Linked DNA regions of Bombyx mori. The protein of the gene in region 1 purifies or fractionates together with the protein of each later gene. This does not show direct contact. Links are inferred from orthologs where the notes say so. Each region holds a gene or a part of one and is shown on either strand. Other genes may lie near its edges. The genes, in order: zinc finger CCHC domain-containing protein 10 and neuralized-like protein 4.

Region 1 (4,340 bases):
CTGCTGTCACTACCAGACGAGCTCGAACCCTCCGATGACGAATCAGAAGAGCTCTCCGATGAGCTCTTGTCTGAGCAGTCTTTGCAGTCCTCTTCACGCTTTTTCTTGTTGGGTATCTTGCAGCTGCCATTGCTGTGAATAAAACACCATGTTCAATAAACATCTAAAATAATTGCTTTATTTATTTAGAAAACACTACAAAAAATCTGCATGATATGTTAAACATAAGTTCTACTAAAACCAAACAACTTTTCAAAATTTGATTAAGTGAACATATTAGTTCAGATATCAATGATAAACTAACATTTTACCATCGGACAACTTCATATCATATATCTTACACAACCTCTGGATGACAATGTTTCATGATCTGTTAATGGTGTGCTTATTATTGACCTATTATTTAATTACAATGCTTGAACTTATTTACAAGTAGCTTCTGCAAGCACCTTCACCCACATCAAAAGTAACTTTCCCAAGATGAAAATTTACCCAAATCTGGTCAACAGATTATACTTAATTGAGTATAAAACATGCTAATATTTTCTGCATTTATGCATTTATAATGTTCATATCCCTCATATTAAACAAAAACCACTGATTCCAAGCTACATTATGTAGTGTTTTAGTAAGGGTTGTATAAAAACAGACACACACTGAACTGACTTGTTACCAACATTTGTGCTTTTAATTTACACTGGTGGTAGGACCTCTTGGGAGTCCGCGCGGGTAGGTACCACCACCCCGCCTATTTCCGCCGTGAAGCAGTAATGCGTTTCGGTTCGAAGGGTGGGGTAGCCGTTGTAACTATACTGAGACCTTAGAACTTATATCTCAAGATGGTTGTAGATGTCTATGGGATGGTGGGCTGTGAGCTCGTCCATCCATCTAAGCAATAAAAAAATAAATAATAATAATCAACCATAATACATTTTAAACAAAGCCTGAATATATTTAAACCTTAAAAATGTAACAGAAGTTAAAACATTTATGTTAACCACACCACAATAAAGAGGACTAATTTGTTGCAATATCTTTGCACCACATTATATGATGTATTATTTTGACCTGTGCAAGTTTTGAGCATTTGATGCCCTTGAAGATCTAATATATGAAAGTATATTTGATATATATAAGAAAAGCAAGAAGTACCCAGATGAATTCCTGTGACATCAGCATTTGGCCCTGGCTTCTATTAATAGTAATACTGAAAATAGCTATTCTTAAAGAAAACTGTAATACAGGTACAAATAAGCCAGGGGCCTTTCAATTTTATCATATAAAACACAGATAGCCAACCCTTAAACATACCCAATCCTGTAGACTGAATGGTAAACAGTTGACATCGCCCTAAACACGTCATTACAGATCCCTCCCATTCATTAACGGTGCTTTTAGGTACCACAACCACTGTTTACCATCAGTGACCGTGAATTAACCCATAGACACAGCCCACTAAGTTTCTCATCGGATCTTCTCAGTGGGCCGTGTTTCCGATCCAGTGGTAGATTCCACTAAGTATTGCTCTTGCTAGGGCCAGTGTTAGCAACACTCCCGGTTTGAGTCCCGTGAGCTCACCTACAAGTCAACAAGCTGAAATAGCCTCTGAAGGCTATCAGCATAGGTAGGAAAAAAGTACCCTTAAATTTCTTTAGAACAAAGAAGCTTTAACATTAATAATCTGCATCTTTAATCAAAGCACAGCAATGAAATCATGGCTCGATCTAAAAAGTACCATGCCATTTAGCTAGAAAATCAGAATAATAATGATAATTTTACTAAATATATTATATTAAATTTAAATAACATTAACATTGAACTATTAGCCCTTAGAAAAATTACTGGGATTAGTGTGTTTTATAATTAAGGCAGTGTCATTTATTGTTGAAGTCCAGAACTAAAGTTTTCTTAAAACTAACACTCGGGAATAAAATATATCCTATTACATTCAAGATCAAATTCATGTTAAACAAGATGTTATGATGTACAAGTTGATGTCAGCAGTTATTCATAAGACAGACATGTAGGTATTAAAGTTTTGAAAGCATTTGAAATAATTTTTAGAATGAAATAATTATTGACTTCAAAACTACCAATTTGAATAAATTGGGTAGGTATGAAGTCATCATATAACTTTCCCACCATCTACCCTCCACAAAAGTTAAATTATAAATCAGAATCACATTTTTTTATATAAAATGAAAAAGTATCATGGTTACCTAGAGAAACTTCGTAAGCTATTAATAGTTATTTAACAATATAAAGATTACCAGTATAAAAGCATTAGGTAGATCATAACAAAATATGGAGGGTGGTTCTAGAACTTTATTGAAAGACGAAATTGCATTTTACCTGCATTGACCTTCTTCTTTGGCTTTCAGATTCTTATGCATGATTCGTGTACGTGAAGGACGAACTAGGATCTTGCGTTTGCCCTTGCACTCATAGCTCCAGTGTCCAAACTCCAAGCACTTCTGGCATCTTATGCCTTGAGGAAAAGCAGCAGCCAGAGCTGCTTGCCTAAAAAAAAGAATATCAGTCCAGGTTAAATGGTATTTTCATGATAACTAATGTTGGAAGAAAATTTGTTCCTTACTTTTTCCTCTCAGCCTGATGCCTGTTATATGTTCCCAGAGTCATATTCAGAATCTCAAAGGGAAAATTAACAAGATTAGGGGGTAGTTAAATATATGTTTAGAATTGTACTGTTCAAACTGCAACAGGTCTTCTATTAAAATTTATCGCATAAAAAGCGCAAACACAAGTCGAGGATGTGGAAATGCGTCTGTCAAATTTATAAACAAAAATATAGTAGAATATTGTCTATGGAAACCCCTTTGCAAATCCCACATGCACAAATGAAAAAAAATAGTTCATGTAAATGAGTAAATTCTCAATAAAGCTTAAAAATAAATTATGAAAGTCTGAAAAAGGAAATAGGTTTTGGTGGCGGATATCCATTTCACCTCTAATGTGAATTTTAGGAATGTTACGGATTTACACAGCAACCTGAGCTTGAAACCTTGCACAGCAACCTTGAAATTACATTTTCTGACGGAAACGCAGATATCTGCTCTAGATGATATCTGGTAGGTTTAAAATATCACTGCTACTTATTGGAGTACAACTATCGCTTAATATGGGGGCTGTATCCGAATCTACACTTGCTTGCCACCTGCAGATGTGGTGGACCTAGGAGACTGTAACGGTCACTACCAAAAGTGGTTGGGACCCAGGACCATTGACATCCCGGTTCGGGCTGTCTATGATTTCTTCTCGGCCTACGGCCTCTCCCAGCTCGTGACACAGGCCACCCATTTCTCAGATTGTGAGGAATCTCATCCAGGTTACCATACCACGCTTTCACCTTGGTCATCGGAAGATATCTGGGTGTCGAAGAATTTTGCAATAAATGTATGTCAACGGACTGTGATGGAAAGCGTGAATTACGCACATCGTGGTTGGTTGTTTATTACTTCTTCTGAGGTACCTGTTAGAGGTCAGAAATGTCCCTGATCTAATAAAACTAGTAAGGATATTGTACGCTTCAGGCGGGCCGTATACGCGGCCTAGTCCAGTCATTATAGGGGGTTAACCTCAGAAAATTGACATATCCAGTATATTACCACATAAAAAAAAAAATATTTTGGCATCCTACAACTATTTTCAAAATTCACATAAAATGTAAAGACAGCGGTCAATGTAAAAAAAAATTTTTTTTATTTTATTCTGGCGAAAATCTCGTTTTCCATGGGTTTTTTCCACGCTATTTGTATTTATTATTGTGTATATTAGAGAATTAAATTCCCTACAATACTGATAATAATCTAACTTTTCTATTTAACATTTTTTTATACCTTGAACTTGTGGCATTTCAGAACGCACATTTTTATGATGCGTAAGCCGGAACTCACCAGAGGTAAAAGATTAAAGTCTGTGACACGGGACCTTTTTACCGCCAAAAATTTAAAACGTAAAATAATTTATAATGTGTTTAATAACTAATATAATATTATAACTTAGAATTGTTTATGCCGCTACAACAATAAAAATTCTATTGTTTCAACTATGGTGTTAATTACATAAAATACGACTTTACGGCGAAATAAAGAAAGGACCCTATATGGACTCCCTCAAACTGCTTTCAAGATAAAGGGCGTAGAGCGTGCGGTCAGAGAATTATCTTAGGTCAACTGGTAATCTCGATCAAAAACTCGTAATATTAAGGCTATAATTTATTGCTAAATATATAATTATCATTTAACATATCATTATCAATACATGACGTAACACGTCATAAAAAGAAATAAAGTTTTTCTAGGTAGCTATTTGTTGTGAGT
Region 2 (3,830 bases), on another chromosome or scaffold:
ATGGACTGGCTCGGAAGTGTCGGTATTGGCGCTGTTGGTCATCTCGCTTCGGAAGAGCTTCCGCCCACCGCAATGCAACTAGAGCCCCCCGTGTGGGTCATTACAAGTGACCTGATTTACGACAACGGTGATTATGTAAGTCAATTAATTGTGTTTAAGTAATCTCTGCGAATGCATGCGGCATTTATTTAGTAGAAATGGTGTGAAGTTTTGTAATATTGTGGAGTATTTGCCTTATTTTTAGTACTACCGAAGTCAGGTTTTTTGAACTACTCAATCGGTGGCTTCCACCATCCATAGACAAACAACTATGGCGGCTTTGCCTGAAAGAAAAAGTCAGAATATGTTAATTCTAGAATGGCAATACAAAATCTAATCTTCTTCTGATACTAATATTAATATTTTTTTTTGTTCTGGTGGCTGATGACTCTATGGTACCAACCACATAACTTATAACAGTATAAGTCCCCTTAGATGTCGAGATCAAAAAATAAGTGCTAAAATTCGTCTACTATTACTTGTTGGTATTAAAGAATCATTATCGTTTTAGATAAAGACAAAGAGAGGTGCACCTTTAGACAACTTGACGGAGCAGTCGGTGCTCACTATACACTTCAGGCTGAACAGCGACATTGCCGTGGACATCGACTCGGAGCCGCTCGGAGTCATCGGCGCTGTTTCAAGGAATGCTTGTCACGTCTTCCCCCTGATCGATCTTTACGGTCGCGTCACTCAAGTGAGTACGAGTTTGTATTATCGATTCGAATCGATCTTAATGCCGTGCGACCCTAGCTAGACCAGGGGTCACTAATTAGCTTAGTTCGGAGTCTGTTTTAAGAAATGAAATGACAATCGCGCAACGCCGTACATTTTATAAAAAATATATATATATATTTAGTAATCAAATGTACGGAAATAACAAAGGTATTTTTTTACATATAAATGATAAAAATGAAATATTTTTGAAACGGACTATCTGTCTGAAGTTCGGAGAAAAATTAGTGCAAGATATTTTAATTAATTCCCAGAGATGTTCATCAGTAAGTCGAGATCGAAATTTATTCTTGATGAAGTTCATTTTCGAAAATGTTGCTTTACAAAATTATCTAGAACTCTTCACTGGAAATTTCCGTGCATAGTAGTACGAGTTGCTGTGTTTTCGCGGTCCACACAAAATCGATCAGCGGTCCGGATGAAGACCGCGGTCCGCAATTTGATGACCCCTGCCCTATTATATAGATACTATATAGTCCGGACTATATAATCCGGCTATGAATCAGTATGACTGAACCCAGCATTCTTCAAGCCACTACTACCCTGCAATCTGTCTATAACCGATTTAACCTGTAAACCTTGTTTAGCTTTCCCCGTTTTTTTTTGCAATGGAGTACTGATGGTAGGGCATATTGTGAGCCCTTGTAGGTTAGTACCACTGTCCTATTCGTTTCTGGTGCAAAGAAATCATGCGTTCTGATTTATAAGACCGGTAACGCTACAAGGATAACCGCCATTTCAGCTTAATTAAAACCTCGAATTCAAATTCTAGGTGTCTGTACTGTTGCATCCTCACGTGGTCGTGAGCGGCACTTCGATCGACCTACCCATCATAGCTGAAAATCAAAGAGAAGAATCGATGTCGGATCTCGACATGAATGAAGAACCAACTCGTGAATTATTCGAAACCAATTTGACCGAAATGCGAATCCGTCGAAAACTGAAAGCCTATAGCCACGACAACCTCATCGAGGACGAGCTGGAACCTATCGCGGCTCAGCCCGGACCCAGCTCCCGACGCGATATCCTGCCTCTAGAATGCATTCCGCTCAGTAACTTCGAGACGAAGAATCCAGCGATAAGACGCAAGAGACAATGTCCCAATCAGCTCTCTTTACACCAAAGCCTGATAATGTCAGACAATACGATGTCGTCAAACAGCTGTGATACATCTACATCGTCGCGCTTCATTCACAAGAGTCATTCCTCTCATAATTTTAGTCTGATACAAGACGATATCGAACTAAAGGTGTTACGTCATACGTACAGTGTAGGCTCACAGATAGCGGATCACTCGGACAGCTTGTCGCACGGACAGTTTTACGATACGAACATTCGCCATAACGATCGGTATCCCGAAGCGAACGATGTCGATAATTTGGATAATGAGATAATGGACGCTCTCACTTTGGAAACTGGTAATTTGCCTGATCTAACCGAAGAGCAATCGTCGTCTTTAGATGAATCGACGCGCCGCGACGAGCTATGGTCCGAGCAGCTATCTATTGAGAACTTGAATTACCTCAATCGCATCTTGTGCTTCGATCAAGAGATGGACGAAGGTCAGAGCTTGGAGTCCGAGTGGGAAGCGTCAGGCGAAGGCTGTGAGCACTTGCATCTTGTTTTGAAGTATTGGAACTTTTTGGTTTGTCCGTACCCTGAACTTCGAAAGGCGGTGTCCTGGGGCCAGGTACGGTGCTACTGCAGTAACTGCCAACCGGACTTACTGCCTCCGTTTGCTGGTTAGTATGTATTGCATTGTCATGAATTTGAATTTTTTTTTTATTGATAGATGGGTGGACGAGCTCCCAGCCCACCTGGTGTTAAGTGGTTACTGGAGCCCACAGACATCTACGACGTAAATGCGCCACCCTCCTTGAGATATCAATTCTAAGGTCTCAGTATAGTTACATGTATTAGTAGAATTCTACTAATAAAGTACAGTTTATTAGTAGAATTCTACTAATAAAATCACCCGAAACCGGTCGGGGGCAAGGTGACGAGTTTTACGTAAAGTATATACATTCTCTTGCCCACTGGACACTGAGTTGGTGGTCGCCGGGCCTTAGCAAATATTTTTATAATATTTATACATAATATTGTATGAAATATTCACAACCAATTCATTCCTTGTATGTTTATGCGTTTGTGTAGATTGAATCACACAACGCCGAAATTAACTCGAACATGGAAACAATTAAATAGGTAAATTCTCAAATCATCACTAATTAATTATCATCATTAATTTACCGGTGATATGACCTCTTTTGAGTCTTTTGAGTCCGCACGGGTAGGTACCACCACCCCGCCTATTTCTGCCGTGAAGCAGTAATGCGTTTCGGTTTGAAGAGCGGGGCAGCCGTTGTAACTATACTGAGATCTTAGAACTCATATCACAAGGTGGGTGGCGGCATTTACGTTGTAGATGTCTATGGGCTCCAGTAACCACTTAACATCAGGTTGGCTGTGAGATCGTCCACCCATCTAAGCAATAAAAAAAACAATAAACAAAAGAGTATATATGCGTGTGTGTGTCAAAAACATGGTAGTGTGTACAATGTTTTTCTTATTAATTTAGTGTATTTTTAATGCATAATTTCGAAAAAATATTAGCATTCTGCACTCCTTCTCTATATAAACTATAAGCGTGGGAAATTTCATACTCCTCCGTCCGCGAAATTTTCGTTAAAAGAGATACAAAGTTTTTGCTTCACGTAATAATTTAAAGATATGTCAACTATCGAATACGTTTGGCGTGTACTATTAGGTTTTATAATACCTTGTTAACAATTCAGGTTGGGTTCGCATCGAGCGTATAGACGGTGTGGGAGCGGCTCAGCGTGGCTTCTGGAACGTGTCGAGGAACATTCTGGGTTCAGCGCAGGCCGCGCACGGGGAGAGCGGCTCGGTGCGAAGACCACGTGCTCTAGTAGACGTACCCTGCACATCGACTTCGTTCTCTGACATGTGACTATCTTTTTAACACGCTTCTATTATACTTTGGTAGGCAGCGGCTTGGCCCTGCCCCTGGCATTGCTGAAGTCCACGGGCCACGG

What was found.
Region 2: the proteins of zinc finger CCHC domain-containing protein 10 (region 1) and neuralized-like protein 4 purify together in Homo sapiens (co-immunoprecipitation; 3 studies listed by BioGRID and IntAct, with this or other methods). This does not show direct contact. The link is inferred for Bombyx mori from reciprocal best matches to the Homo sapiens genes ZCCHC10 and NEURL4.

The regions. Positions count from the first base shown.
Region 1 is NC_085113.1:10,857,041-10,861,380, forward strand, and holds the start of zinc finger CCHC domain-containing protein 10, read right to left. Parts: upstream 3,040-4,340; 5' UTR 2,641-3,039; coding exon 2,597-2,640; intron 2,521-2,596; coding exon 2,353-2,520; intron 133-2,352; coding exon 1-132.
Region 2 is NC_085107.1:10,103,123-10,106,952, forward strand, and holds part of neuralized-like protein 4, read left to right. Parts: coding exon 1-135; intron 136-550; coding exon 551-736; intron 737-1,546; coding exon 1,547-2,516; intron 2,517-3,569; coding exon 3,570-3,741; intron 3,742-3,830. UniProt on the Homo sapiens protein: Promotes CCP110 ubiquitination and proteasome-dependent degradation. By counteracting accumulation of CP110, maintains normal centriolar homeostasis and preventing formation of ectopic microtubular organizing centers.